2 linked regions of the Xenopus tropicalis genome follow. The protein of the gene in region 2 interacts with the protein of the main gene of each other region in a biochemical or structural test. Links are inferred from orthologs where the notes say so. Each region holds a gene or a part of one and is shown on either strand. Other genes may lie near its edges. The genes, in order: crtc2 and sik2.

Evidence for each region.
Region 1: of the proteins of sik2 (region 2) and crtc2, one has a biochemical effect on the other in vitro, tested with the Homo sapiens proteins (2 studies listed by BioGRID). The link is inferred for Xenopus tropicalis from reciprocal best matches to the Homo sapiens genes SIK2 and CRTC2.

Annotation. Positions count from the first base shown.
Region 1 is NC_030684.2:144,417,838-144,434,079, reverse strand, and holds the start of crtc2 (CREB-regulated transcription coactivator 2), read left to right. Parts: upstream 1-9,154; 5' UTR 9,155-9,493; coding exon 9,494-9,643; intron 9,644-12,675; coding exon 12,676-12,780; intron 12,781-13,709; coding exon 13,710-13,826; intron 13,827-14,323; coding exon 14,324-14,385; intron 14,386-15,634; coding exon 15,635-15,703; intron 15,704-16,004; coding exon 16,005-16,105; intron 16,106-16,206; coding exon 16,207-16,242. Other genes in the region: slc39a1 (zinc transporter ZIP1), read left to right, coding at 2,428-2,430, 4,143-4,326, 4,431-4,561, 5,856-6,494. UniProt on the Homo sapiens protein: Transcriptional coactivator for CREB1 which activates transcription through both consensus and variant cAMP response element (CRE) sites.
Region 2 is NC_030683.2:84,184,207-84,200,416, reverse strand, and holds the start of sik2 (serine/threonine-protein kinase SIK2), read right to left. Parts: upstream 8,923-16,210; 5' UTR 7,854-8,922; coding exon 7,719-7,853; intron 1-7,718. UniProt on the Homo sapiens protein: Serine/threonine-protein kinase that plays a role in many biological processes such as fatty acid oxidation, autophagy, immune response or glucose metabolism.

The sequences.
Region 1 (16,242 bases), on a different chromosome or scaffold from region 2:
GTTACCCCCCATTCTCCCCCCTGCCCCACAGGTTACCCCCTATTCTCCCCTCTGCCCCCCAGGTTACGCCCCCACTGTACCTCTCTGCCCCACAGGTTACCAGGTTACCCCCTATTCTCCCCTCTGCCCCCCAGGTTACCCCCCCACTGTACCTCTCTGCCCCACAGGTTACCAGGTTACCCCCCATTCTCCCCCCTGCCCCCCAGGTTACCCCCTATTCTCCCCCCTGCCCCCCAGGTTACCCCTACTCTCCCCTCTGCCCCACAGGTTACCCCCCATTCTCCCCCTGCCCCCCAGGTTACCCCCTACTCTCCCCTCTGCCCCACAGGTTACCCCCCATTCTCCCCCTGCCCCACAGGTTACCCCCTACTCTCCCCCTGCCCCACAGGTTACCCCTACTCTCCCCTCTGCCCCACAGGTTACCCCCCATTCTCCCCTCTGCCCCACAGGTTACCCCCATTCTCCCCCCTGCCCCCAGGTTACCCCCTACTCTCCCCTCTGCCCCACAGGTTACCCCCCATTCTCCCCCCTGCCCCACAGGTTACCCCCTACTCTCCCCTCTGCCCCACAGGTTACCCTCCATTCTCCCCTCTGCCCCACAGGTTACCCCCCATTCTCCCCCCTGCCCCCCAGGTTACCCCTACTCTCCCCTCTGCCCCACAGGTTACCCCCCATTCTCCCCCCTGCCCCCCAGGTTACCCCCTACTCTCCCCTCTGCCCCACAGGTTACCCCCCATTCTCCCCCCTGTCCCCCAGGTTACCCCCTACTCTCCCCTCTGCCCCACAGGTTACCCCCCATTCTCCCCCCTGCCCCCCTGCCCCCCAGGTTACCCCCCATTCTCCCCCCTGCCCCCCAGGTTACCCCCTACTCTCCCCTCTGCCCCACAGGTTACCCCCTACTCTCCCCTCTGCCCCACAGGTTACCCCCATTCTCCCCTCTGCCCCCCAGGTTACCCCTATTCTCCCCCCTGCCCCCCAGGTTACCCCCTACTCTCCCCTCTGCCCCCCAGGTTACCAGGTTACCCCCTATTCTCCCTCTGCCCCCCAGGTTACCCCCCACTGTACCTCTCTGCCCCACAGGTTACCAGGTTACCCCCTATTCTCCCCTCTGCCCCCCAGGTTACCTCCCCACTGTACCTCTCTGCCCCACAGGTTACCAGGTTACCCCCCATTCTCCCCCCTGCCCCCAGGTTACCCCCTATTCTCCCCTCTGCCCCCCAGGTTACCCCCCCACTGTACCTCTCTGCCCCACAGGTTACCAGGTTACCCCCCATTCTCCCCCCTGCCCCCCAGGTTACCCCCTATTCTCCCCCCTGCCCCCCAGGTTACCCCCTATTCTCCCCTCTGCCCCCAGGTTACCCCCTATTCTCCCCCCTGCCCCCCAGGTTACCCCCTATTCTCCCCTCTGCCCCCCAGGTTACCCCCTATTCTCCCCCCTGCCCCCCCAGGTTACCCCCTATTCTCCCCCCTGCCCCCCAGGTTACCCCCTATTCTCCCCCCCTGCCCCCCAGGTTACCCCCTATTCTCCCCCCTGCCCCCAGGTTACCCCTATTCTCCCCTCTGCCCCCCAGGTTACCCCCTATTCTCCCCCCTGCCCCCCAGGTTACCCCCTATTCTCCCCCCTGCCCCCCAGGTTACCCCCTATTCTCCCCTCTGCCCCCCAGGTTACCCCCTATTCTCCCCCCTGCCCCCCAGGTTACCCCCTATTCTCCCCCCTGCCCCCCAGGTTACCCCCTATTCTCCCCCCTGCCCCCCAGGTTACCCCCTATTCTCCCCTCTGCCCCCCAGGTTACCCCCTATTCTCCCCCCTGCCCCCCAGGTTACCCCTATTCTCCCCTCTGCCCCCCAGGTTACCCCTATTCTCCCCCCTGCCCCCCAGGTTACCCCCTATTCTCCCCTCTGCCCCCCAGGTTACCCCCTATTCTCCCCCCTGCCCCCCAGGTTACCCCCTATTCTCCCCCCTGCCCCCCAGGTTACCCCCTATTCTCCCCCCTGCCCCCCAGGTTACCCCCCATTCTCCCCCTGCCCCCCAGGTTACCCCCTATTCTCCCCCCTGCCCCACAGGTTACCCCCCATTCTCCCCCCTGCCCCCCAGGTTACCCCCCATTCTCCCCCCTGCCCCCCAGGTTACCCCCCACTGTACCACACTGCAGTAAAGAAATCACAGCTCCGGACTCGGTTCCGCTACCTACCCAGAATGCACCGCGGCTGCTGAGATTTCTCCGAATTCCCGGTACGGAAGAGGCCGCCTCAGTGGCAGATTTATTCCCTCCCTGAGGAGCCAGGAGCCGCCCCCGTATGAGGGTTTGAGCCGCGGCTCACAGGGTCCCAAAGGGTCGCACTCATTTCCGGGTGTACAAACATGGCGGCGCTACACGCCTGCGCACTGAGGCAGCGTTAGTCAGAGTGTGAGTCTGAGTCCGGCCGATGGTAAGTTTGTCTGGATCTTTCTGTGATTATTCCCCCCTCACCCCAAACTACCCCTCCGCCCAGTACCCTCTTAGTACCCTCTCTACCCATCTGCCCCTGTGTAATGTACCCCGCCCTGTATTGCCCCTGTATTACCCCTACCTACCCCTGTATTACCCCTTACCTGCCCCTGTATTACCCCTACCTACCCCTGTATTACCCCTACCTGCCCCTGTATTACCCCTACCTACCCCTGTATTACCCCTACCTGCCCCTGTATTACCCCTACCTACCCCTGTATTACCCCTACCTACCCCTGTATTACCCCTACCTGCCCCTGTATTACCCCTACCTACCCCTGTATTACCCCTACCTGCCCCTGTATTACCCCTACCTACCCTGTATTACCCCTACCTGCCCCTGTATTACCCCTACCTGCCCCTGTATTACCCCTACCTACCCCTGTATTACCCCTACCTACCCCTGTATTACCCCTACCTGCCCCTGTATTACCCCTACCTGCCCCTGTATTACCCCTACCTGCCCCTGTATTACCCCTACCTGCCCCTGTATTACCCCTACCTGCCCCTGTATTACCCCTACCTACCCCTGTATTACCCCTACCTACCCCTGTATTACCCCTACCTGCCCCTGTATTACCCCTACCTGCCCCTGTATTACCCCTACCTGCCCCTGTATTACCCCTACCTGCCCCTGTATTACCCCTACCTGCCCCTGTATTACCCCTACCTGCCCCTGTATTACCCCTACCTGCCCCTGTATTACCCCTACCTACCCCTCCTGTTTCCTCATACAGCCCCTATATTACCCCTACCTACCCCTCCTGTTTCCTCATACAGCCCCTGTATTACCCTACCTACCCCTCCTGTTTCCTCATACTGCCCCTGTATTACCCCTACCTACCCCTCCTGTTTCCTCATACTGCCCCTGTATTACCGTTACCTACCCCTCCTGTTTCCTCATACTGCCCCTGTATTACCGTTACCTACCCCTCCTGTTTCCTCATACAGCCCCTGTATTACCCCTACCTACCCCTCCTGTTTCCTCATACAGCCCCTGTATTACCCCTACCTACCCCTCCTGTTTCCTCATACAGCCCCTGTATTACCCCTACCTACCCCTCCTGTCGCCTCATACTGCCCCTGTATTACCCTACCTACCCCTCCTGTTCCCTCATACTGCCCCTGTATTACCCTTACCTACCCCTCCTGTTTCCTCATACAGCCCCTGTATTACCCCTACCTACCCCTCCTGTTTCCTCATACTGCCCCTGTATTACCCCTACCTACTCCTTTCCTGTCTTCTCATAATGCCCCTGTATTACCCCGACATATTTCTTTCCCGTCTTCTCATACTGCCCCTGTATTACCCCTACCTACCCCTCCTGTTTCCTCATACAGCCCCTGTATTACCCCTACCTACCCCTCCTGTCTTCTCATACTGCCCCTGTATTACCCCTACCTACCCCTCCTGTTTCCTCATACAGCCCCTGTATTACCCCTACCTACCCCTCCTGTCTTCTCATACTGCCCCTGTATTACCTCTACCTACAACTCTGCAACCTTGTCACATTGCTGCGTATTATCCCTTCTACCTTTCTATATTAATGAATTCCCCCCCCTCTGTATATTCTCCTACTGCCCCTGTCCCCTCAGTAGGAGCATGCCCATTTGCCCCCCCTGCCTCACAGCGGTATTGTTCCCTCCTTACAGGCCGGGGTAACAGAAGAGAAGGACATGGAGGCAGTTTGGAGCCCAGGGCTGGATTCTGCCCCCCTGTCAGTCGTTACCATGGAGCTGAAGTTGGGGTCCCTGGTTACCCTGCTGCTTCTCACCATTATCAGTGGCCTTGCCCCTCTCTCTCTATTCAGGCGCCAGGGGAGCACAGTTACCTCCGGTGAGGCTTTTAGTGGGGCAGTAATAACGGGGTTAAACCTATATTCATAGATATCAAGCAAGTGACCCCTGTATTTAACCCCTTACTCCCCGTTGCTGTCGCAGGTCCCCAGCGGAGGTCGCTGAGTCTCATCAGCTGCTTCTCGGGAGGCGTCTTCCTTTCTACTTGTCTTCTGGATCTGATGCCCAGTTACCTGTCCTCTATTGCTGGTGCCCTGAAAGGGTTAAACATCACAGTGAGTACCTGGGGGCCACGGCATCTATACAGTTAATCTGTAGCCTTTTAGTATGGCTAATGGTTAAATCCCCCACAGGCATGCCTGGGGATTGCCCCACCTACAGGGCAGATATTTATAAACATGGGGTGTACGTGTCCTTTAAAGGAACAGTAACACCAAAAAATGAAAGAGCTTTAAAGTAATAAAAATAGAATGCACTGTTGCCCTGCACTGGTAAAACTAGTGTGTTTGCTACAGTAACACTACTATAATTTATATAATAAGCTGCTGTGTAGCCCCGGGGGCAGCCATTCAAGCTGGAAAAAAGGAGAAAAGGCACAGGTTACATAGCAGATAACTGATAAGTTCTGTAGAATACAATAGTGTTTTATCTGTTATCTGCTATGTGCCTGTGCCTTTTCTCCTTTGAATGGCTGCCTCCATGGCTACATAGCAGCTTATTTATATAAATTATAGTAGGGTTTCTGAAGTAAACAACTTTTACCAGTGCAGGGCAGCAGTACTTTATATTTTAGTTACTTTTCTACACTTTCATTTTTTGGTGTTACTGTTCCTTTAATGGGGTTGTTCGCCATTCTGAGACAATTTGCAATTGGTCCTTATTTTTCATTTGAATTCTTAAGCTTTTTGTTCAGCAGCTCTCTACTTAGGAATTTCAGCAGCTATCTGGTTGCTAGGGTTCAATTTAACCTAGCAACCAGGGAGTGGTTTGAATGAGAGACGGGTATATGAATAGGGGAGGGGCTGAATAGAAAGATAAGGAATAAAAAGTAACAATAACAATAAAACTGGAGCCTCACAGAGCAATAGGGTTTGGCTGCCGGGGTCAGTGACCCCCATTTGAAAGCGGCAAATAGGCAGAAGAAGAAGACAAATAATTAAAAAACTGTAATATATATATATATATATATATATATATATATATATATATATATATATATATAAATAATGAAGACCAATTGCAAAGTTGCTAGGAATAGGGCATTCTATAATGCACCAAAAGTTACTTTTAAAGGTGAACCCCCCCTTTAAAGTCATGTGACATAAGCATGGAATTTTTCTATTTAACCCTTCCTTAAACTAATTTGCATATGCAAATTTCCTTTATTCAGCTGAATCTTTCACAAAGGATTCTGGGATCGGCGGAATCCCAAAACAGTAATTTCAGCGCATCCCTATTTTTATTAAACAAAAAGCTGCCATATTGCCGGGGGCGTGCAGACTTTTTGTGTATGTGTATATAAGTTCCCCTTTAATTCTCCCGCGTAACGGTCACTGTCTCTGCTCCCAGTTGCAGTTCCCCCTGCAAGAGTTCATCTTGGCCATGGGATTCTTCCTGGTGCTGGTAATGGAGCAGGTTGCCATGGGTTACAAGGATCAGGCCGGCGGCTCGGAGGAGACGGGCGCCCTGCTGGGATCGGCCAGCCTGTTACACAGCGGGGTGGGGGCGCCCCACGTACACGTGGATGTGAACGCTCACTCGGCGGTGAGAATGATGGCGCTGGTACTGGCCCTGGCGCTGCACTCCGCCCTGGAGGGCGTGGCCTTGGGGTACCAGGGGGCACGTGGGCGAGTGATGAAGACCTGCCTGGCTCTGCTCGTCCATAAGAGCCTCATTGCATTCAGCCTCACCCTCAAACTGGGGCAGGGGCGCCTCCACGTCCGGGCCATGCTGGCGTGCCTCCTGTTCTACTCCCTAATGTGCCCGCTGGGCATGGGCCTGGGCATGGCGTGGGCTGGCAGCACCGACCCAGTGCAACAGTTAACCCGTAGTGTGCTGGAGGGACTGGCCACTGGGGCATTTATGTACATTACCTTCCTGGAGATCCTGCCCCACGAGCTGAGCGCCGGTTACCCCCAGATCGACAGGGTCATCGTGTTGCTCTGCGGCTTCTCCGCCATCGCCGCCGTCCTCTTCATCAAGATCTGATTAACCCTTTCCTCGGCTGCCCGTCGCTTCCCAAGCACAAACGGGACCAATGAGAGGGAAGCGTGTGTGCCGCGGATACAGTCGCGCTTGCCCTTTATGTTTCTATTATGCAGAAAAATATTTTGTAATATTTATATACACGGGGATCTATTTTTTATTATTATTATTATACCAGTTTTATACCCACGTGTTTACTAACCAGCTGTAACGTACACAGCCTTTATTAAAATGGCTTCTTTTTAACCTGCTGTGTGTTTGACTCTTCTAAAAGGGGATGTTCACCTTTGCGTTAACGTTTAGTATGACGTAAAGGGTGATATTAGGAAAATTTGCAATTGGTCTTCATTTTTTTTTAAATTTTATCTCAATTTTTGTTTAGCAGCTCAGCAGTTTGGAGTTTTTAGCATCTATATGGTTGCTAGGGTCCAAATTACCTTAGTAACCAGGAAGCTGTTTGAACGAGAGGCTGGAATATGAATAGGGGAGGGGCTGAATAGAAAGATAAGGAATAAAAAGTAACAATAACAATAAAACTGGAGCCTCACAGAGCAATAGGGTTTGGCTGCCGGGGTCAGATATACTGTTGCTAGGGCTCAAGTAACCTTAGTAACCAGGGAGTGGGTTGAATGAGAGGCTGATATATGAATAGGGGAGGGGCTGAATAGAAAGATTAGGAATAAAAAGTAACAATAACAAAACTGGAGCCTCAGAGCAATAGGGTTTGGCTGCCGGGGTCAGATATACTGTTGCTAGGGCTCAAATTTTCTTAGCAACCAGGGAGTGGTTGGAATGAGAGACTGGTATATGAATAGGGGAGGGGCTGAATAGAAAGATAAGGAATAAAAAGTAACAGTAACAATAAAACTGGAGCCTCACAGAGCAATAGGGTTTGGCTGCCGGGGTCAGTGACCCCCATTTGAAAGCTGCAAAGAGTTGAAAAAGGAAGGCAAATGGATTTGGCTGAATCCCGGATTTGGTGCAACCCTATGATAAATAATGAAGACCAATTGAAAAGCTGTTTATGGCAATTCTATAACATGCTAAAAATGAACGTAAAGGTGAACTTCCCCTTTATTCAAGGAGTAAAATATGAATATAGGTAATATAATATTAGAAATAGGATTCGGTTTCGGCCAAATTGAATCCAAATCCTAATTAGCATAAATGTGCATATGCTAATTAGCATTCAGAAGGCTTAAATGTTAGTGGGGGGGGGATTTTTATTTTTTAACCCTTACTGATCGGTTCAGTATTCAGCCAAAGCCATCAGGGTGGGTTTTTTGGGTTCGGTGCACCCCTAATAAGAAATATGAATTAGAAGCTCAACTTGACCCGCAGGTACTCACTTTTCTTGGGGTAACCGACCCCCTGCAGGACTCCCGGGTCATACAGTTGCCAACACAAATGCAGTCTGATCCCCAAATCATTTCAAATACAGACTGTTCTATTGGTTTGGTTTTTCCCCAAGCTGGGGAGGCCTTTCTAGGGTTAAAGGGGTGGTTTCCGTTAACATTTAGTATGTTACAGAATGCCCTATTCCTAGCAACTCTGCAATTGGTCTTAATTAAAAAAAAAAAACTATAAATAATGATTTCCCATTCAAATGGGGGTCACTGACCCCGGCAGCCAAACCCTATTGCTCTGTGAGGCTCCAGTTTTATTGTTATTGTTACTTTTTATTCCTTATCTTTCTATTCAGCCCCTCCCCTATTCATATACCAGCCTCTCATTCAAACAGCTCCCTGGTTGCTAAGGTAATTTGAGCCCTAGCAACAGTATATCTGACCCCGGCAGCCAAACCCTATTGCTCTGTGAGGCTCCAGTTTTATTGTTATTGTTACTTTTTATTCCTTATCTTTCTATTCAGCCCCTCCCCTATTCATATACCCGCCTCTCTTTCAAACAGCTCCCTGGTTGCTAAGGTAATTTGAGCCCTAGTAACAGTATATCTGACCCCGGCAGCCAAAACCTATTGCTCTGTGAGGCTCCAGTTTTATTGTTATTGTTACTTTTTATTCCTTATCTTTCTATTTACTCCCTCCTCTATTCACATCCCTGTTCCTTTTTCAAACCACTGCCTGGTTGCTTAGTTAAATTGGACCCTAGCAACTAGATGATTCTGAATGGAGGTCACTGACCCCGGCAGCCAAAAACGATTGCTTTGCGCGGCTCCAGTTTTATTGTTATTGTTACTTTTTTTTTACTTATCTTTTTATTCAGCCCCTCCCCTATTCATATCCCTGTTCCTTTTTCAAACCACTGCCTGGTTGCTAAGTTGAATTGGACCCTAGCAACCAGATGGATTCTGAATTTCCCAATTGAAGAGCTGCTGAACAAAATGCTAAATAAAAAAAAGACCAATTGCAAATTGTCTCAGAATAACCCTCCCTGCATCACACTAAATGTTAATTTTTAGGTGGGAAAATCCCTTTAGTATCATCTGTAGAAGTGACCCCGTTATGGGAGCTCCCTATAGAGCCTCTATGTCCCCTGTATAAACCTATTTATTGTAATATTAATACACGTTGTTAATATTAATAGTAATAATTACAGTGACCCCCTGGAAGTATAGGGACAGGATTCCTACACCCGTTTTCCTGTCACACAACAGTGTTTATCCCTCCCTCCAGACCCGCCCTTTATTTCCTTTCACACAAACGTAGCGAAGGCTCCGCCCCAAGCCGCAGGCCGCCACCACTTTATTCACACCCAAACTGGCGGGCCAGAAGGTAACAGCGTCGGTGCCGCATGGGAATTGTAGTTTTAACGTGATTCACTCGACGTCTATTTCAAGCGCTTGGAACTACGTTTCCCGACAAGCAGTGGGACGTCGTCTGCCCACGTAACGCGGAGCCCGACGGGAGATGTAGTTTCGCTTCGTGCCGTTGGGCTTTGAGTTTCTCGAGTTCAGCGGCGCGTTGGAACTACGTGTCCCGGCGTGCCTAGCGCTGTGTTTTTCCACCGGGGGTTTTCTCGGCGGCTGCGGAAGGGAGCGAAAGATGGCGGCTTCGGCGGGGGCCAACGGGCCGGGCTCGGCCTCGTCCTCCAACCCGCGCAAATTCAGCGAAAAGATCGCCCTGCAGCGCCAGAGACAAGCGGAGGAGACGGCGGCCTTCGAGGAGGTCATGATGGACATCGGCTCCACCCGGGTACCCGCGTTCTGCCACTTGTCTGCCATTGGCCAGTTATAGTGTTGCGTGGGAACTGGTGCAGCCCCTGGGGTGGTTTTATCCCAACTGTGAGCTCTATGGGGCAGTTATATTGCCTGACAGGAAGTGATACCCCCCCCAACCTGGGATCTGTCAGTGATACCCCCCCCCCAACCTGGGATCTGTCAGTGATACCCCCCCCCCAACCTGGGATCTGTCAGTGATACCCCCCCAAACCTGGGATCTGTCAGTGATACCCCCCCCCAACCTGGGATCTGTCAGTGATACCCCCCCCCAACCTGGGATCTGTCAGTGATACCCCCCCCAACCTGGGATCTGTCAGTGATACCCCCCCCCCCAACCTGGGATCTGTCAGTGATACCCCCCCCCCCAACCTGGGATCTGTCAGTGATACCCCCCCCCCCCAACCTGGGATCTGTCAGTGATACCCCCCCCAACCTGGGATCTGTCAGTGATACCCCCCCCCAACCTGGGATCTGTCAGTGATACCCCCCCCCAACCTGGGATCTGTCAGTGATACCCCCCCCCAACCTGGGATCTGTCAGTGATACCCCCCCCCCAACCTGGGATCTGTCAGTGATACCCCCCCCCAACCTGGGATCTGTCAGTGATACCCCCCCCCAACCTGGGATCTGTCAGTGATACCCCCCCCCAACCTGGGATCTGTCAGTGATACCCCCCCCAACCTGGGATCTGTCAGTGATACCCCCCCCAACCTGGGATCTGTCAGTGATACCCCCCCCAACCTGGGATCTGTCAGTGATACCCCCCCAACCTGGGATCTGTCAGTGATACCCCCCCCAACCTGGGATCTGTCAGTGATACCCCCCCCCAACCTGGGATCTGTCAGTGATACCCCCCCCCCAACCTGGGATCTGTCAGTGATACCCCCCAACCTGGGATCTGTCAGTGATACCCCCCCCCCAACCTGGGATCTGTCAGTTATACCCCCCCCCCCAACCTGGGATCTGTCAGTTATACCCCCCCCCTAACCTGGGATCTGTCAGTGATACCCCCCCAACCTGGGATCTGTCAGTGATACCCCCCCCAACCTGGGATCTGTCAGTGATACCCCCCCAACCTGGGATCTGTCAGTGATACCCCCCAACCTGGGATCTGTCAGTGATACCCCCCCAACCTGGGATCTGTCAGTGATACCCCCCCCCAACCTGGGATCTGTCAGTGATACCCCCCCAACCTGGCATCTGTCAGTGATACCCCCCCCAACCTGGCATCTGTCAGTGATACCCCCCCCAACCTGGGATCTGTCAGTTATACCCCCCCCCCAACCTGGGATCTGTCAGTTATACCCCCCCCCAACCTGGGATCTGTCAGTGATACCCCCCCCAACCTGGGATCTGTCAGTGATACCCCCCCCAACCTGGGATCTGTCAGTGATACCCCCCCCAACCTGGGATCTGTCAGTGATACCCCCCCCAACCTGTGATCTGTCATTTATACCCCCCCCCCAACTTGGGATCTGTCAGTGATACCCCCCCCAACCTGGGATCTGTCAGTGATACCCCCCCAACCTGGGATCTGTCAGTGATACCCCCCCAACCTGGGATCTGTCAGTTATACCCCCCCCCCCAACCTGGGATTTGTCAGTTATACCCCCCCAACCTGGGATCTGTCAGTGATACCCCCCCCAACCTGGGATCTGTCAGTGATACCCCCCCCAACCTGGGATCTGTCAGTGATACCCCCCCAACCTGGGATCTGTCAGTTATACCCCCCCCCCAACCTGGGATCTGTCAGTTATACCCCCCCAACCTGGGATCTGTCAGTGATACCCCCCCCAACCTGGGATCTGTCAGTGATACCCCCCCCAACCTGGGATCTGTCAGTGATACCCCCCCAACCTGGGATCTGTCAGTGATACCCCCCCAACCTGGGATCTGTCAGTGATACCCCCCCAACCTGGGATCTGTCAGTGATACCCCCCAACCTGGGATCTGTCAGTGATACCCCCCCAACCTGGGATCTGTCAGTTATACCCCCCCCCAACCTGGGATCTGTCAGTGATACCCCCCCCCCCAACCTGGGATCTGTCAGTGATACCCCCCCCCCAACCTGGGATCTGTCAGTGATACCCCCCTCAACCTGGCATCTGTCAGTTATACCCCCCTCAACCTGGCATCTGTCAGTTATACCCCCCCCAACCTGGCATCTGTCAGTTATACCCCCCCAACCTGGGATCTGTCAGTTATACCCCCCCCCAACCTGGGATCTGTCAGTGATACCCCCCCCAACCTGGGATCTGTCAGTTATACCCCCCCCCAACCTGAGATCTGTCAGTGACAGTGATACCCCCCCAACCTGGCATCTGTCAGTTATACCCCCCCCCAACCTGGGATCTGTCAGTGACAGTGATACCCCCCAACCTGGGATCTGTCAGTGACAGTTATACCCCCCCCCAACCTGGCATTTGTCAGTTATACCCCCCCCAACCTGGCATCTGTCAGTGATACCCCCCCAACCTGGGATCTGTCAGTGACAGTGATACCCCCCCCCAACCTGGGATCTGTCAGTGACAGTGATACCCCCCCAACCTGGGATCTGTCAGTGACAGTGATACCCCCCCAACCTGGGATCTGTCAGTGATACCCCCCCAACCTGGCAATTGTCAGTGATACCCCCCCAACCTGGGATCTGTCAGTGACAGTGGTACCCCCCCAACCTGGGATCTGTCAGTGGCAGTGGTACCCCCCCAACCTGGAATCTGTCAGTGGCAGTGGTACCCCCCCCAACCTGGGATCTGTCAGTGGCAGTGGTACCCCCCCAACCTGGGATCTGTCAGTGGCAGTGATACCCCCCCCAACCTGGGATCTGTCAGTGGCAGTGGTACCCCCCCAACCTGGGATCTGTCAGTGGCAGTGATACCCCCCCCCCCCAACCTGGGATCTGTCAGTGGCAGTGATACCCCCCCACACACACAGACAGGGAGACAGACAGACAGACAGTGCCCGTGCAGTACAGACTGTGCCATTAAGTTGCTGTGTGTGTGACAGTTACAGGTGCAGAAGCTCAGAATGGCGCATATGAGGGGCCCTTACTATGGGGGGTCACTCCCCAACGTCAACCAGATCGGCAGCGGCGGCAGCGCAGAGTTTCAGGTGATTATTTGTACCCGGGAGTGTTGGTTTTGTTGGTGTCACTGCTCTACCCCCCCATGTAACCCCCTCTGTTGTACTGCAGGGCCCCCCATGTAACCCCCTCTGTTGTACTGCAGGGCCCCCCATGTAACCCCCTCTGTTGTATTGCAGGGCCCCCCATGTAACCCCCTCTGTTGTACTGCAGGGCCCCCATGTAACCCCCTCTGTTGTATTGCAGGGCCCCCCATGTAACCCCCTCTGTTGTATTGCAGGGCCCCCCATGTAACCCCCTCTGTTGTATTGCAGGGCCCCCCATGTAACCCCCTCTGTTGTACTGCAGGGCCCCCATGTAACCCCCTCTGTTGTACTGCAGGGCCCCCCATGTAACCCCCTCTGTTGTATTGCAGGGCCCCCCATGTAACCCCCTCTGTTGTACTGCAGGGCCCCCCATGTAACCCCCTCTGTTGTATTGCAGGGCCCCCATGTAACCCCCTCTGTTGTATTGCTGGGCCCCCCATGTAACCCCCTCTGTTGTATTGCAGGGCCCCCATGTAACCCCCCTCTGTTGTATTGCAGGGCCCCCCATGTAACCCCCTCTGTTGTATTGCAGGGCCCCCCATGTAACCCCCTATGTTGTATTGCAGGGCCCCCCATGTAACCCCCCTCTGTTGTATTGCAGGGCCCCCCATGTAACCCCCTCTGTTGTATTGCAGGGCCCCCCATGTAACCCCCTCTGTTGTATTGCAGGGCCCCCCATGTAACCCCCTCTGTTGTACTGCAGGGCCCCCCATGTAACCCCCTCTGTTGTATTGCAGGGCCCCCATGTAACCCCCTCTGTTGTATTGCAGGGCCCCCCATGTAACCCCCTCTGTTGTATTGCAGGGCCCCCCATGTAACCCCCTCTGTTGTATTGCAGGGCCCCCCATGTAACCCCCTCTGTTGTATTGCAGTGCCCCCCACATTCCCCCCTGGAATCATCTCGCAGCACCCGCCACCATGGTCTCGTGGAGAGAGTTCAGCGAGACCCCCGCCGGATGATGTCGCCCCTGCGCCGATACATGCGCCAAATATCCTTTGCTTTGCACCAATACATAGCGCTCTATGGCGCCCCCTAGTGCTCTCAGTCTGCTGGTACATTGGGCATTACATATATAAATCCTCCAATTAGAATTCAGTTGTGGATACAGGCGGTACCAATAGGGAGGCAGCCCGGTGCTGTATCGGCCCAAACAGATGCACCTTAAGAACACGGAACCGGGTTTTATTTAGGAATTAGGAATATTACTGTGATGTTTTTGGATTTCACCTCCCAGTATAGAGATTATAGAGGTTTAAGTTACCCTTGGCGGGTGGAGGCTACAGTCAGTTGGTCCTAATTTAGGGGATCGTCCCCCCCAACGAGACCTGGGTTGTAGGTCAGAAAGCCATAAGTCTTTCCTCTTCCTGTAGTTGCATTGTGGGAACATGGCAGATGGGAAGTGTGTGCCACCCTGGGCACCTGTTGGGCATCACCCAGCTCTACTCACACAGGCATTGGCTGGATTGCTTTCCTTAACTTGCCCACTTGGACAGCTCTCCCTACAACGCCTCCTACCTCTCACCGCAACAGGAGCCCAGCTGGAGAAGGTAATGTGACTCTAATTCCCAGAAGCCTCTGCTGGTACCAGCCATAGGGCCCCTAGAGGTTTATTTGCCTCAGCTCTGTAACATAGGGCCCCTAGAGGTTTATTTGCCCCAGCTCTGTAACATAGGGCCCCTAGAGGTTTATTTGCCCCAGCTCTGTAACATAGGGCCCCTAGAGGTTTATTTGCCTCAGCTCTGTAACATAGGGCCCCTAGAGGTTTATTTGCCCCAGCTCTGTAACATAGGGCCCCTAGAGGTTTATTTGCCCCAGCTCTGTAACATAGGGCCCCTAAAGATTTATTTGCCCCAGCTCTGTAACATAGGGCCCCTAGAGGTTTATTTGCCTCAGCTCTGTAACATAGGGCCCCTAGAGGTTTATTAGCCTCAGCTCTGTAACATAGGGCCCCTAGAGCTTTATTTGCCCCAGCTCTGTAACATGGGGCCCCTAGAGGTTTATTTGCCCCAGCTCTGTAACATAGGGCCCCTAGAGGTTTATTTGCCCCAGCTCTGTAACATAGGGCCCCTAGAGGTTTATTTGCCTCAGCTCTGTAACATAGGGCCCCTAGAGGTTTATTTGCCTCAGCTCTGTAACATAGGGCCCCTAGAGGTTTATTTGCCCAGCTCTGTAACATAGGGCCCCTAGAGGTTTATTTGCCCAGCTCTGTAACATAGGGCCCCTAGAGGTTTATTTGCCTCAGCTCTGTAACATAGGGCCCCTAGAGGTTTATTTGCCCCTGCCCTGTAACATAGGGCCCCTAGAGGTTTATTTGCCCCTGCTCTGTAACATAGGGCCCCTAGAAGCTTTAATACAAAACAAGAGGGCAATTAGGGATATAGGATATTAAAGGGACACACCCCCAATTCTATGTGCCCACCCATGAAGAACCGTTGTGCCACCAAGGACCCAGTTGCCTTACATTTGCCCCCATTTGCCCCGTGGCTGGTATTTATAGCTGACTATTCAGGCTGTGAATGGGAAGGACAGCGGCTGAAGACTAAAGAGCATTACACAGTTTGGGGGGTTCCTGCTTTTGATTGGTTCTCTGGGATGCTAGGGGCGGGGCTTCCTCCTGTGCGCTGCCGGGGGGCTCCTCTCTGGCAGAAGGAGACACATAAGTTAATATATGTGGCTGGAGCACCTAACCACAGGCCTTGTGCCCCCCACCCATTATATACCCCCCCCCCCCCCCCCGTGGCTGCCCACCCCAGACCCTCGGGTCCCTGGATAACTCTGCTGTTTTTCATTACAAAGGAACATGCCCTGGGGAAACTACCCCTCGGACACAGGACAGCTCTTTAGGTTGCCGACCGCCCTAAACAGGTGAAGTTTCTTCTGCCGCTTCCCTCTTTTTGCCGCTTCTCTCTGCCGCTTTGCTGCGTACTGGGAGGAGCTAAGCAGCTGTGTGGCCCCCTCCGCCCCCCCTGTACCACGAGTGCCTTATTGCATAGGGGTGTGTGTGGCTATATGGGTGTGTGCCTGGGCTAGCAGTGGGTGCTTGTGCTGGGTACCATAAGCAACGTGTGGCCCCTTCTGGCTTCAGTGTTTATTTCCTGCTTTGTCCCGGTGGCTACTTGCTGGCCCCTCCCACTAGCCCTGACGTGTGTCCATGGCTTCTCCTCAGGACAAACTCGGACTCTGCTCTCCATACCAGCGTGATGAATCCCAGCTCACAGGATCCATACGGAGCCGCACAGGGCATGGCGCTGCCCAACAGGAGAACCGGTGGGTTGGTTTGTTCCGGTAGTCGCCTGTAGGGGGGGGATTATGGGGTCGGTAGTCAGTTAAAGGCTCATGCCATGTTTCCTTCCCGATCTGCCCCTCAGCGTTTCTCTTTCCGGCGCCGGCTATAGAGGAGGACC
Region 2 (16,210 bases):
TTTTGTTAAAGGAACAGTAACACCAAAAAATTAAAGTGGTTTAAAGCTATTAAATTATAATAGAATAGTGCCCTGCACTAGTAAACCTGTTGAGTTTACTTCAGAAACACTAATTTAGTTTATATAAATAGGCTGCTGTTTAGCCATGGGAAAAGCCATTCAGTCTGAAAAAGCAGAAAAGGTACAGGTAAAGGTAACTGGGTCATCAGTCATTGTACTTAATAAAGATGACAAAGGTTAAGTAAAATAGTTAAACTTCTTAATGCCTAAAGTCTGGGTCTGAAATTTAAAAGAAACTATAAAGCTCTTGGAATATAAAACACATTTATTAACTGGTGTAGTGTGAAGCATAGAGTAAGATGATCCAGTTATCAGAATTTGCCTTGGAAGGAAAGAGTTACCCCTGTAGGTAAAAGTCTGACAGTCTGAAAGTAATAAATACACTTATGTAAATGAACCTATGTGCAAACAGGGACAGGGGCAAATATGTGAAGAGAAGAGGGTAACACAGAGCAAGGGTAAAGATGCATGAAAGGATACTCAGAGCACTATCCCTGTTCAGAGCTTTTCCAGACTTTGCAGTGACTGGCAAACAAAACACACACAGTCCAGAAGCCGATGGAGCTAAATCTTCACAGTCCCAAGCACTAGCCATTGCCTGAAAGGTTAGAACTACTGCACAAACACACATCAGTGGTTTCTAAATCCTTAACACTGAAGGAAGCCAGCAGAGAAAAAAAGGCAGCAGTCAAAAAAGGTTACTGTTATGATTACATGTAACTGACAAAGTAGCTAACTGTAACCTGGTGGCTTTTCTCTTGGGTATTTATTCAATACAGAAAAAAGAAGAAAAAAAGGGCAGTCACATTTTAAATACTGAGATGACACAAGTGCTCAGATACCAAAGCTTCTGTAATACACACGAACCAGGTCTCTTGACTCTCTTCTCTTTAAGTCTTTAAAATGTAACGAACAAAACAAATAAATAACAGCGCGTATAGTTAACAGTAGTTTACTAAAGTTTAACTTTTCAGCATACTTTGGGCTGCTCAATTCTTTTAACTGCTGTATGGCTGATCTGAAATATTTAAAGATGCAATTTACATGCAGCTTAGAAAGCAGTACAAAAAAATCTATTTTCATCAAACAAAACAGTTTTTTGGTGGAAATCCTTGTATAAAAATGCATTAGATACAAAATGACAGTGGTTGTCAAGGGGGTTATGCCCCAGCCATCAGCACATGTATAGGTGCAACATTAGCATGAAAACCAAGAGCATCCAGTCGCACATTTGCTTCCTTTAAGGTAGCTGCACAGAGAAGGTGTTTTGCAGATGTCTTGGAAGCACAACTACCACATGTGAAAGCTGAAATACAACATCTAGCCCTGCTGACAGCTATTTCTGGAGAATTATAGGTTGTCCTTCACTAACTTATGGCATAATGGTACATTTACTGGTTAGGAGACGGATACTGGGGATTGGAAACTAACCAGAAGTCAGCAGGCTTCTCTTATCACCAAACACTTGATTTAAGATCATAAAGGTAGTTTCTAAGCATTACGCTAAGGTTGATTTTGGCTAAAATAAAGTTTTAACCTGACCAATCTATATCTGCAGCACAGATAACCTATATAATAAAAGGGCTACCCTATGTTCTATTACGGTGAAGACACACAGAGCTACTAGTAGCAGCTACTTGTCGTGGCTACTAAAATAGACAATGCTGATCATTTACTGATAACAGTCTCTACATGTGTTTTAGCAGAGGCAATTCTCATTGTCTATGGCAAGGAATTTTCTGGAGTTTAGTAGCCATGAAAAAGTAGCTGCTACTAGAAGTAATAGTAGCAGCTACTTGTTGTGGCTACTAAAATAGACAATGCAGATCATAAACTGATAATTGTTTGTGTGTGTGTTTTAGCAGAGGCAATTCTCAGTGTGGCCTATGGCAGGGTATTTTCTAGAGTTTAGTAGCCGTGAAAAAGTAGCTGCTACTAGTAGCTCTGTGTGTCCTCACCCTTACTTAGAGGTTGTCTGCAGATATTAATTGATTTACTAGTTTAAAGGCTGTAGGGTTGCAAACAGTAGAAAGTTTGACATGCTGATGCCACGGAGCATTAAATAGGAGTGTGACTTATTTGCAAGCTAGTTGTGAAATGCGTACAGTCAAAACAATTCAGTTGTTTGCCTTGAAGGGCAAGCTTTAACACATATTAACCAGTGAATTCATGGGCAATCTGGACTTAATCAGGAAGTAAACCAGAACCAGGATGATATGACTTGCCATTTAGTTAAAGCCCTTGATCTTGCTGATATGATGGTTAAAGATGGCTTAAATCTAAATCCAAGTCATAATAATAGGAGGGAGGGGAGTCAACTGACATTTTCTTTATGAAAAATAAAAAAACATATCAGACACTCTGCCATTTATATTAGCATGCTTGTTTTACCAAACAGAGAATTTTCCACACAGGTCTAATTATTCAGTATGTGTTCCTGTGTGTGAGCAAGCTAAAGAGATTTGAGCACCTGCGTGAAAGAGTTTTCATTTACAAGGGATTTAATGGGAACTCACAGTGACAGAAGGAAAGAAGCACTTGGACTATCATTATGATTTGTTTCGACTTTAACCTTTATGCAAACTTTGTGCTAGATACTCAACATACTACAACAGTATTTTTTTTCTACATTTGAGATACAGGACCAGATTAACTAAACAGTGGTGTGATAACTGGTTTATTGGAAATTATAATCACTGGAACATTAACTAAACCTTTTGGTGATAATATGACTTAAGGAAGAAATTAATTAAGTCTTGAACGCATCTTCACAGGTCTATTAAATCCGTCAACATGCAATACATTGCTTCAAGAGTCAGAACCACCAAACTGGAGAATATAAAAAGGATAGACTGGTACTGCTTTAAATAGCAGTTACAATTAAAGCTGGGCATGCACGTACCAATAATATCATATAAATAAAGTTTTGGAAGATTTTTGGTTTGTGTATGGTGGCCTGCTGATCCCTACTGATATCCATGCACCATGGATATTGGTCAGTTCTGGGAATAAGCAGTTTTGAAAATTTCCATTGCCAATGCACTATTATCAGCTTTTTTTTAACTTACCATTTCAGCTCATGTAGGGAGGCCTTTAAAAATAACTTTAAGGAGAAAGAAAGGTAAAAACTAAGTAAGCTTTATCAGAAAGGTCTATGTAAATACAGCCGTAAGCTTTATACATTATGAAAAGTATTTACCCGACAAAAAATGTTTGGTTGCTAGACCATGAAAAATAATAGATGTGTATATGACTGTTTGTTGAATTGTGCCTCTTTATTTTAAAGTGAAACTCCACCCAAACACAACTTACCTTTTTGTAAAAAAAAAAAAAAAAAGCTTAATTTCAAGCAACTTTGCAATATGCAATCAGTTAAAAAATATGCAGTGTTTTCATGATTTTTAATGTAATAATATGGTTTGGAACAGTTACCTAAGCTTGGCCCCCTGTTCTCCTGCTGATCTGGCTGACTACTAAAAATGTAATAGTATTCCACTGTCCTTAGCCTGCAACCTCTAAACCCCACAATCCCCTGCTCACGTGATGTCAATAAGGAAAGGAACATCACAGAGCATTGCATTGTAGTTCCTGCATGCTGTCTGTAAGAACATTATAGTTGAGGAGACTGCCTCATACAGATACAAATAAACAAAAGGAATTCTGGGAATGAATTCCAAACTCCTAAAAAAAAATCCCATTTACATGGGTTTATCCTATAGCCTATAGGATGAACCCATGTAAATGGGATTTTTTTTTTTTTTTTTTTTTAGGCGTTTGTAATTCATTCCCAGAATTCCTTTTGTCTATTTGTAAATTGTGAAGAAACGGATACAATTTGTAACATGTTTTGCAGCTGGCTTTTAACATATAAAGATGGCATTTATTCATATTTTTTGAAGGAACAGATTACAGTAATAGGTTTATTAAGGGTTTCTGTGTTGTGTAGAGCTCTTTAACAAATTTTTCTTTGGAAGCTGGAGTTCCCCTTTAACATAAAACTGTTACTGCATGTTAGGTCTTGGACTTCACAGGATCTGATCTAAACTCAAGGCAATAGAGCCTGCCCATAAATATTATCTCCAAGTGATTCTGCACTGTCTGGTAAGTGTACCAATGTGTCATGCTGATAGGTAGGCTGTTTTACATTAGATCAAAGCAACAGACTACTCTTGTGTTAGTTGAGCATGGAGAGGGGAATTTACATTTTTAATTATTTACAAACTGCTAAGAAGTAATCACACATCTGCAGGGTATTTTACAACTACATACAGTAGCTGCCTGAAAGGTGCTGGGAGTTGTGCCTACATTTGGACATTAATACCTTATATCAGATAGATGGTAAGTGATACAACAAAACTGAAAGGGACAGAATTGGGTAGAATTCCCTGCATCCCAGGGGCAGCATGTGATGGCCTTTAAGTACAACTGTCAGTGCAGACTTTATTAAACTGCACACACTAACTGCCAAAAGATCATATTTTTATTTAAGGTTTACATTTTTAACACAGAACGACTTCTTTGTTAAAAATTCTACTGTATTAAATATGCCAACATGAAGTTAGAAAAAAATGTAGCTATTACATATTGTTAGATACTCTGTACTTAATTGTTGGCTTACCAAAGCATTAATTGTTATGTGATCATTAAATATAAACATGTAAATAAGTAAATGTAACTTTAAGAATGTATTCATTGCCAACAATCATTTCTATAGGTCACAAAAATTAGCAAATTTAGGTGGAAAGGCTGATTAGAAGTGTTGTGCATTTTGTGTTGCAAGATAGTGTATAACAGAGCACAAAAAGCTTCAATAGTGCAACAATTAAAAAAAATGAACTGAAAAACTGAACAGTGTTCCGTGACCTGAATTCAGGGTCAAACAAACTTACACAATATGCAAAGTTTAGCAACAAAATGTACTTGTCTCAGGACCCGACGAAGCCCTCGATCTTATATCAACAGGAAGCAAAGAGTACATAAAGGGCAGCTTTCAATACTGCTTGCTACTGCAAGTCACAAACAAAAATGATCACTGATATCTAAACTAAACAGATATTGTTGGCAGCAAACCTGGCTCGCAAGATATTCACCTGCATGAGGAATAAGTTGAGGCAGAAATGTGCAGAGATGTATGGAGGTATAGTTGTAACTGGAGACTAAAAAATGCCTCTTAGAACTGTGCTAACTCTATATAGGCCCCAATACAATGCTTATATTATTTTTACATACAAAAGCACACTAAATTAAAATTACAAATGAATCTGTTTTTGCCACAATAAGGCAGAATGTTAAAATTTAAACATAAAAATATCTCCCCCACAGTCCAAAAAAAGTATTTCTAATAAAAGAATCTAATTCTAAGGAACCTTCCAATATACATTTCATAAAATTTTTCACTAGTTCTAAAGTAATTTGCAACTGAAAGCAGCACTTGTCTTTCCATTTCTGCACTGCTCGTTTTGTCATTTCAAACAAGGTAACAGAAGTCAGCCTTGCATGGCTTGCAGGCTTCAGCTACCTTGTTTCAAAAGTCCTAATAACAAAGGGCCAAACAGATACTATTATTCATAGCATATATATTTACAAAATAACTTTATAATTATTATAAATAGGCAATTCACATATACATGTTGAAAATTGCTTAGGATTACCATCTCTCAAATCTGGCAAACTTTTATTCACTGATTTATATCCCCTTTAATAACAATTTAACTAGTTCTTGACACAAGGACATGTTTAAACGTTTAGTAAAAGTATTATGTATAGAATACAGTAATGCATCACAGATAGAAGAAAAATAATGTTGTGTGAATACTCATTCAGCCCTTGCCAGCTCTCTAACTGTAAGAGCATCTCATTGCCACAGGATACAGAGGTCCGATGACAAGATGCAAGGGGTGACATTTAATCTGCCTTGGTGTAAGTGATACTAAGAGACTACAGGTCTCAGGAAAATATAAATGGCCATCAGATGACATCAATTTCTTAGCTGTATCAGTTTGATCGGCTGAACTACATGACCCAGAAACAGGTAAAAAACCCACAGTGTACACCTTTTAGATAGAGTGTCACTCAATCTTGGTAGTGTGACTGGAGTTGGTTTCTATACCTGAGATTGTGACTACAAGGCATTTTATGGCAACATAACTAAAATGCAGAATTCATGTTCTGTTCAGATGACTTATCATAAAAACTACACACTGGGCAAACAAACAAACCATGAACCCATTCTCTAAGAGAGATGCTTCACTGAAATGCTGCAGTAACCAATAGCAGCCAGAGATATACCTTTAATCAGTGCGATGCAGTTGGAAAAAGCAGGAAAAATTGATTGGTACTATGGATTAATGCACAGCTTTACCTGCGGTATTAAGTGAGGGGCTAAACCTGCTAGGTGGCTCATAAATCAGCAGGTAAACATGAACCGGTGTTCTTGGATTCTAGGGAACAAATTGGTTACTAGTGCAGTTCATAAGATACTTGGCCGAGTAGGTTTTGCCAGTCACCTGTAACTCTGGCTGTAAGTGAGAAAAGCAACAGCATGTTTGGCAAACCTTAGCGGTTGTTGAACCCAAACCCCTAGTATTCCCAGACAGAAGATGCTGGTACTTTATGTTTGACTTTGCTGTCTTTGGGCCACGAAACAGTAAGCAATGTAATGAGATTTAGCAAAATAAAAGCTGTTTGTACCCAAACTTTGTTTGCTAAAGTATTTCTATGCCAATTAATATGTTTATTGTCTCCATGGTGCCACACAAAGCAGGTCTGTACTGTGATTTTAAAGACTCTGGATTAATAAGAAATTATAGTTATATAATGTGGCATCAATAAAAAATAAAAATTTTATTATTGCAGTTGGCAAGATGTTTTTATTTTTACTATTTATTATCTTTACCCTTACTTGGCAGTGTCATAGTTGACACCAGTTGTTAATGGGAAAAGAAATGTCACGTTTAGGTGGCCACCAGCAGACCTTACCAGGCTAAAGCAATGGCACACTTGGATCCCCAAAAATAACACTTACCAAGTTAGAGCAATAACCTTACCCTGTAAACTATGCCATACTTAGACACCACAAGCTTAACCATTAAAGGGAAAAATGCCATATAGGAGAACCCAGCAAAAGCCTTTACCAGGATAAAGCAATGCCATATTTAAAAGCCCAGTAATGGTACTTACAAAGGTAATGCAAAGGCATGTCTGGATGTCTAACATAAGACCTCACTAGTGTAAAGGAGTATGGGTGCACTGCAAACACTCTCACAATTGTAAAACAATGCCATAAATAGGTGCCACTGCCCAGCACCTACCAGGTAACACCAATGCCATAATTACATGTCCAGCATTATCACTTGCTAAGGAAAGGTAATGCTGTAAGTTGGTGCCCAGCAAGTCCTCAGCAGCAACACTCCCTACCAGAACACAGCACTGTCACATTTGGGTGCCCAGCACTTTGCAGGGATAAGGCAATAGGCAGAAAATGCCCTTATTGGCATAATAGAAAATGGAAATAGTTGAAATGTAAAAGAAGCGGCTTCCCAGCTGTTATTGCGCTAAAACACGCTGCAGTTTTGCGCCAAGAGTTGTAGTGCAAGAACAGCAGAGGGATGCAGTGAAGCTCACACAAGTTATTAGCCAGACATTTGGCCAGTACTTGCCTCGGTTTTGGTGATCCGGTGCCTCGCCAGCTTCACCACCGCGAAATTCCCTTTCCCTAAAGTGCGTTCTATGTCATAAAATCCGACCCGGACAGGACCCCTCTGTACAGGCTTCTGACAGTCCGCCATGACCATGCTGGGAGCCGGGCCAGGAAGCTCCAACGGGAAACAGACATCAACCGGCACGATTAGTGCTCACACCCCCCAACAAGTCGCAGTGAAAGGAATCGCAGGCAGATCCTACAGGCGCTCACAGGGGGCTCACCTTAGCCATTCCTTATAGGCAAGTGCAACCCAACGCAAACTACATTCAGCTTCTAGCGCCCGCACATTACATACAATCGCAAGACTTTTCTGTAAAGTTGATGGTGGCGAAGAATTCCCAAATGGAACGCGTTACTGCTTGCATTGTCCAGCTCCTGCCATGTGTTCAGCACGGTTATACCCGAATGAGCTCTCACACATCCATGCAAGGTGGGAACGTCTGACATTAACATGCAAACAAAACGCAACCAATCGGGCTGAGTTTTCACAGGTCCGATAAAGTCAGCTCATCAAGTCGTTGCAGGCAGATTTACGGCTAAAGTGTTGCAAAGTAACGAGCATTGTGCAGCTCCCATTCACTTGCACAGAGGTATTGTTAGTCGCTGTAGCACGCGTGCGACCAGACACAGGGAGTGGAGGCAGCTGTGCAGCAGGAAGCCAATGTACCGCTCTATGCACAAGGCATCATGTTCTCACAGTTAACGTCCATTGACGTCAGAGCAGCAGGAGGCCTCCTGGGCGGGCCCTTTATTCCCTGTCTTTTTTTCACAGCTCGCTTGCCAAATAGGTTGCCCTTGACAACCGGAGCCAGCTCTGACGTCAGCAGCCCTCTGCTGAAGCTGTCAGTCAAGGCTAGCACAGGGAGAGTATACATGTGTGTGTGGCTGAGGCGCTGCCTGTTCGCACATAGCAGCTATAGCTTAGAGGCAGGATGGCAGCCCCGGGCCTGCTGCTGCACCGGGGCTCAGGGAGTTCCTGATCAGAGCTACGAGAAACATGCGAACAATTGGAAGCAGGGGGGCTGCATACATCCGCATTTACACAGCACTCTTTATTAACGCATGCACATGTTACTGGTCTTAATTAATTATTATAATAATAAGTAGCTCGCACAGTAACTTTGTTCTTATGGTGTTCCCTGGGCACGGTGCTCCTGGAGAGACAGCGCCACCACCGGCATCTGTGGGGCATGACAGGCAACATTACCCTGGCCCTAGCTGTGCTCTCTTAGGGCTGCTGTTCTATCTCTCTGTGCCAGGGCTGGTGTGGAGATTAGAGGCTTGTCGAACCGGGCTGTCAGCTGAGGGGAATAGGTACTCTGCTACCGCTTGTGTGCCTAGTGGGTCACTGACTAATGAACATTTTATGAAACTATCTTATAATTGCAACCCCTTTTTGGCTGCAAAACAAAGACCAGCTAGATGGGCTATGGAGCATGGGGTACACTTGACTAACACACAGGATGGGCCTTTGTTATGTGAAAGGACCAAGGGGGACATGTAGTTGTGCAACTACAATTCACTTATGCTGTGTGCAAAAATAAAGAAATAAAGGGTACCAGATGGTTCTTGCAGCAAACTCAAACAGAACTCAGTTTATTTGTCCAAGACAAATGGTCCACAGGTTAATGCAGTAATACTCACAATGCAGATGCAGGGCAACAGATTGGCACGTTAAATGCAGAGCAAGCAATGTAAAGATGCACCACTGTAGGGCATCTTTTTCCTTAAAGTTTCTTACCTTAATGGACCAGATCCCAAACAGCAGACATATATGAGGGAGAAGGCTATGCCTGATACCCTTGTTATAACTGTGGCCCCTTCAATTAGGCAGTGGAGACTGTAAAGGAGAATATATCCTGCACTTACTAAATCCTCGTTCACAGGGTCCCTGCTCCCCGACTTCTCTAGAGATAGATGGCTTTACTGAGGCCTTGTTGATCATGTACCTGTTTCAACAGATGCAGGCCAAATAAGAAGTTCTCACCTCCTGCTGAACACTATGTTACAGTGTGCAGCAAGTAATCATAAGTCTCATGGGCCAAAGATACAAAACATCCTTATAGCAAGATAGATACATGGGCTTCCGCCCAGTAATAGTGAAATAAGGAAGTGTAGGGTTTAAAGCTATTGGGAATGTTAACACTATAGGCCCCTGAATATTTAGTTAAACTGTAAAATGATTTTTTATAAAGAGCGCAGTAACTTCTACATACGCCGCTGTCTCTTGAAAAACTGCTGCTCATGCCCAAAATAACTATTGGCTCTTATACCAACACACATAAACTGGTGTCTTATGTGGTGATTTATGTAAGCACATTTTATATTTATATACAGCTATTTGTACACACAGGGCTGTAAATTGAGCAAGAAAATAAGTAGCCACTGCATACAGCCTGGAAGTGGTTTCATTGTTTTCTATAAGGCAAGTAGTCTTATTAATTCCATAGAAAAGAATAAGATCAACGTGAAAATAAAGCTTAATAACCGAGATGCCAGCCCAAATCCAAATTGATCCAGGGGCATATTGACTGTCCCTGTCTCACCCATCGGCCATTCAATGCTTCCTGCTCCTCTGCTTCTGATTATATCAGAGGACTGGTGATGACTCTATGTATTTCAATGAAGTGTGTAAGTTTGGTTTCAGGTGCATATTACTGTAAGAGGGAGATGGACCCAGTGGCATTACAATAGTAGGGTGACAAAGGTTTCCTTTCTCTATAAAGGGGTGACCTGCAATTTTACACACAACCTGGGATGGATCCATAGCTCTTTTCTACAGAAGCTGCAGTATTTAGCACCCAGGAGGCAGAGTGAGTAGCGATGTACTCTTGAATTAAAAGATGTTTACCTGAGGCAAAAATTGAGTCATTTTTTGCAGAATTCCTGATTACTTAAAGAAATAACTTTTGTTTCTTAATAAACAAGGACAATGTAATGTATGTGATCTGCTTAGTCCAGGTCACTAATAGTATATGTAAGCAAGAATATTTCCATTTTCATGTTTTGGCTAAATATGGGAGCTGTCATTCATACAAAACAAATATGTAGATACACAAGAGTGTACAGAAAAATCAATTTAGTTAATTATTTCAATTAAACGTTTATAGAAACGTTAAATTAAAATAGAACTTAAAAGACAGTGTATAAATTCAAGTGAAGGGCAAATGATCTTTTAATTGTGCTTTCTGCTAAATGAAGACATGGTGGGGCACTTGTGCAAGACTGCCCCCTTTATCTGAGGTCGGGCCAAGTCCAATAAAGGCATTTTCTGATATAAAGCTGCTGTATACTGCTTTTCAAAGACTGCAAAAACAAAAAAATATGTGGGCATAGCATTGCCCTGTTGGATTTTAAAGGTGTAAAACAGGAATGGACAGTAAATCTGGATATTCTGCCAATAGCTAGAATAGATTTTATATTCTGCCTATGGGGTGTGTTTAGGTTTCTGTATACTTGAAATGCCAAAGTGTACTGATTTCAATCTAGGGCATGGTGTCTGGAAGACTCGTGTGTTGAGTACAGCCCAATATAGTCTTAATCTGACGCTGGAACAGAGAGGTCACGTTTAGACAGGAGAAGCTCATTATAAGAATCAGATCAAGAAACAGCAGACACGGTATTAAGCCAGATTACAACAGGCTAGAAGACGTCTACGTTAAATAAGTGTTCTTTTGGTTAAGGAATACATGATAATGTAGCAATATATGTGATTGTATGTTAGTTAATTTTGCATATTTCTATAATCAGTTTTTATTGTTATAGCAGCAACATGTTCCACAGCTTTTACATATTATGCATCATTCACATCAGACCCTGCCCAAATGGAGCAGGGACTGATGGAGCATATCACATTTACTCAGCACACACACTAGGACCACTAGCCAATTAACTTGGCTCTATGTTTTAGCTGATTGGGAGGAAACTAAAGATCCTGGATAAAACCCACACAGTCACAGGTAGACAAACTCTTTGTAGATCATATCCAGGTCACTTGGAACCTCAGCTTTATATATTTGTGAGTGCATAATGCTTGTATTTCTAGGGTTTTTGAACTTTGTACATTCTCTTTAAAGAGGGTGAGTGCAGAATGAATTGCAGAACTGATAATCAGGCTATTGTTATTATCCTTTATTTATTTATTAATTTTTTCCTATAGTTTTTTATTGTTTTATAGCAAGAAAATAAACATTTCACGTTACATAAATCAAGTTCCGTATTCTTTTAACAGTTGAATAATGTTGTCATATTGATACAAATTATCTTAATATTAAGATACAGTTGTCATTATCTTATCCGTGATACTTTGTGTCAGTTCCAAAAATGACAATGACAAATATATTTCCATTATGATAGGAGATTATCCTTTATTTATATAGAACCAATATGTTACAGATTGCATAGAGAGATATTCTGCCCAAGTGGAGCTTACAAAAGGCTAGGTACACATTCCATATATTATTAATTTTATGAGGACAACTGATAGAACTGAATAGAAGTGAAAGGGGTCATAAACCTTCAATAATGGTGTTCTTATACCTAATTTTTCTGGACTACAACTCCCAGCATTCATCAGAATACTGTCAAATATCATGATAGTCCAGCCACCACACTTAAGGATTCTTAAAGGAAAAATGTATAAACAAATTTTAAACAGCCAGCAGCCCTGTTAAAACAAGACGATCCTCAAAAGAGAACCCTGTCTGCTCTTTTTACACTTGACTTTATCTTTCTGGTCTCAAACAAAATCATCATTTTTCTTTTGTAGCTCTAATAACCTAAACAGCACTGTGTCTGCATTTATGAAGTCTAACCTGGAAAAAGAAAATAAGAATATCTGGAAAAAGGTGATTTGGGAGGTAAAATATACTATAAAAGTTGATTTCTTATTCTTATTGGACAATTCCTTTGCATCTATAATTTATTTGGAATGCTAGCTATGGAGAACTAGGGGACATTGAAAGTCAGTTTTTAAGATGGTTTATGTCTATGAAGATTTTCATTCATCCAGGTCATGGTATATCTAGTATAAATAAATTTAAAGCAACTGGACTTGTTTGGTAATCATTGAAGACGTTTCACTACTCATCCGAGCAGCTTCTTCAGTTCAACTGAAGAAGCTGCTCAGATGAGTAGTGAAACGTCTTCAATGATTACCAAACAAGTCCAGTTGCTTTAAATTTATTTATAATTAAGAAAAAAATAAATTGAGCAGAAAAACTTAAGTTAATTTCACCAAAAGGTCCTGAATATTAAATAATTGAAATCAACGCAAAAGTTTTTTAGTGAAAAAAAACAGACATTTATTGGCTCAGAAGATTTAACACAAATTCAAAAAAACATAAGCCATACTATACCACAGTGGAAAGGAAAACCCAGTGCCTCATGGTACCCACTCTCCTTCCTAACGCGTTTCGCACCATTAGGTGCTTCATCAGAGGAAGTGTGGTGTGAACATGTCACTTCCTTTTTATACCCTAAAGGTGTTAATTTTATACATATTCCAGGGCCACCATTAAAGCCCTGCAGCAAGCACATACTATATATAACCTTTATGAATACATCACACAGGGTTCACAAAGTGGCCCCAAATTCAGCATAATTAAACAAATTCAGCATACATTAAAATTAATAACAAATAACTAAAAAGGTGAAACACCTATCAAAATGTGTCAAAAAGTATTTAACAAAAAATTTATTTATACTAGATATAAGATGGTTTATGTTCCTTAAGGGCAATGGCACACAGGATGTTTAACCTATTGCCTATGCAATGGTGGTGGTAGTTGTGGGGGAACAAGGTACTTACCTCTTCTGTCTGGTGAATACACCAATTTGTGTTCATTAAATCAGACAGGGCCATCCACAGTCACATCAGAGTGTAGGAGGCCCTTAAAGGCTAAGGTGCAAACAAAAAGGTTGCCAGCAAAGTTTTTGCAAAGTTTACTTTGGTTATGATGACAAATAAAAGCTCAATCTACTGAGTGCAAACCCATGAACTAGAATAACTAAAATCACAGAGTGAAAAGGTTCACTGATACTTTAAAAGGTACTAATGTGTTATTTAGTCCCAGCAAAGATAAGCCCTAATGCAAACGTCAGTTCCCGAGGCTATGAAACTTGAAACATATTCATGGTGCTCCTCTTTGCAGACTAAAATAGGATATTATTCTGCCATTTCAACGACTCTTTACTGTGTACAACCATTTTGGACCTGTTATAACAGTGGTTCTCAATACCTTCAAAAAGGTATTAACAGATACCCCCTCTGGACTAAAACAATATATATCCACACATATATTCATGGAAAAACAAGGGCAATGTAAGAGACTTTAAAGGTATGTTCACCTTTAAGTTAATTTATAGTTATAGTTGTTATAGACTGTTCTATTCTTAGAAACTTTTCATTTAGTCTTTATTTTTTGTTTGTTATGGTTTTTGAAACCATATTCCACTTTCAATCCCACTACACATATCCCACTTTCAAATGAGGTCACTGACCGACCCCAGAAGTGAAAAAAATTATTGCTCTGTGAGGTTACAATTTTATTGTTATTGTTAATTTTGATTTCTTATCTTTCAGTCCATCTCAAATTCATCAATTGTTTAAATCACTTTCTGGTTGTTGTAAATTGTACCTTAGCTACCAAATAGCTACTGTATTCCAACCTGGAGAGCCACTGAACAAAAAGTTCATTTAAAAACCACAAAAAAAATGCTCAAACAAATAGTCTCAGAATATCACTGTCCATGTAACAGTAAAATTTATTTAAAAGCTTAACTACGCTTTACATGTTATCCAAAACCTTTCCTTGTTTCTTTAGAAATCAATAGGATCATTTTGTTTTTTTGTGCTGAGGAAGATTTCTTAGACCAAGGCAAGGCTCTCAGCGCTTTATTTTCAAATGATAAATGCCTGACCTATCTGAGATCAGACAATCACCATTAATGTCAATGGAGGGGTAATTCCCTGGGAATCTTCCTGTGTGCCATTGCCTTTACTGGCATTTTTTTTATAATGTTATAAACGAGTGCCCCACATTTTGTTATTAAACTGATAACACACACCTGGACAGTAGGCGCAAGACATATATTTTTACTATTAAAGTGCACCGTGATCTTTACAACAGAAGATCTCTTATTGCCCCTTACACTGTGCTATCACCTATCTACCATCTATCTATCTATCTATCTATCTACCATCTATCTATCTATCTGTCTATCTATCTAATCTATCTATCTATCTATCTATCTATCTATCTATCTATCTATCTATCTATCTATCTATCTATCTATCATCTATCTATCATCTATCTATCTATCATCTATCTATCTATCTATCTATCTATCTATCTATCTATCTATCTATCTATCATCTATCTAACTATCTATCTATCTATCTATCTATCTATCATCTATCTATCTATCTATATCTATCTTTATGCTTGTGAGAAGATGTGAGAAGTGGAAATGCAAATATTAATAATCCTTAATTTAAGATAAGGAGTGCCTGCACTTTATTTATATTCATAACACCAATATAACCCTGGTACTGCAAATTCAGTAACTAATTTGGCTGTTCTGATGTACTCAAAGCATTTGTGCAGTATAGCTATGTCTGTGTTTAATTGCTTTACTTTTCAAACTTTGAAGGATATTTGCAAAAATATTGCATAAAAAATAGTCAAAAACAAACTTAATGTAGTTTTCAAGTCTTACGGGGGTTGACAGCTCACTGATTTGCAAGGGAAATTACTAATACAACCTGATAGGATTCACTTGTAGTAAAAAAAGGTCTAAATGGGCACTCTATAGTTTTCTGTACAAGATCTTCTCTTTCTTCTCTGAGAGTAACTTGAACCATACCCACATTCAACATATTGAGATGCAATATGAAAAAAATGAAATCTTCTGTATTGCTTGCATACAATTGTCTTGACCATTTACTATTTGATTATATAGAACAGATTTTTTTCGGATAAAGGATTGAAACTTTTAACAGGATTGTAACTTTTAATAGTTTGTTACTCAGTTGGTCTGGAGAAAGGTCCATATACAACCCTTTTTCATTTTAATCACATTTGCATCCAAGAACTCCATAATGCATTCTGAAAACCTCTTTGTGAGTCTTATTATATGTAAGCTGTAAAGAAACTTGAGAATCAAATGTTGTCCTTTGCTTGTTAGGTGCCTTATTGTCCCCTCACTATTCTGGTGCTAAATGAGTTAAATAAATATGCATAGATTTCATATTCCATTAGCTTATACTCAATTTTTGTCTTAATTACCAACCTCAAAGGCTTGAGCCCTAAAGGGCACAAAAGTGCTCCAATGAGCACTTGTAATAAGGGCGTAATGCCCTGTACTTAATGCCTGTCTTGCACAGTCACTCTCAGAATGGTCTGTTTAATGTGTCAATTCTGTGAGCATGTCATGTCTCTGCAAAGG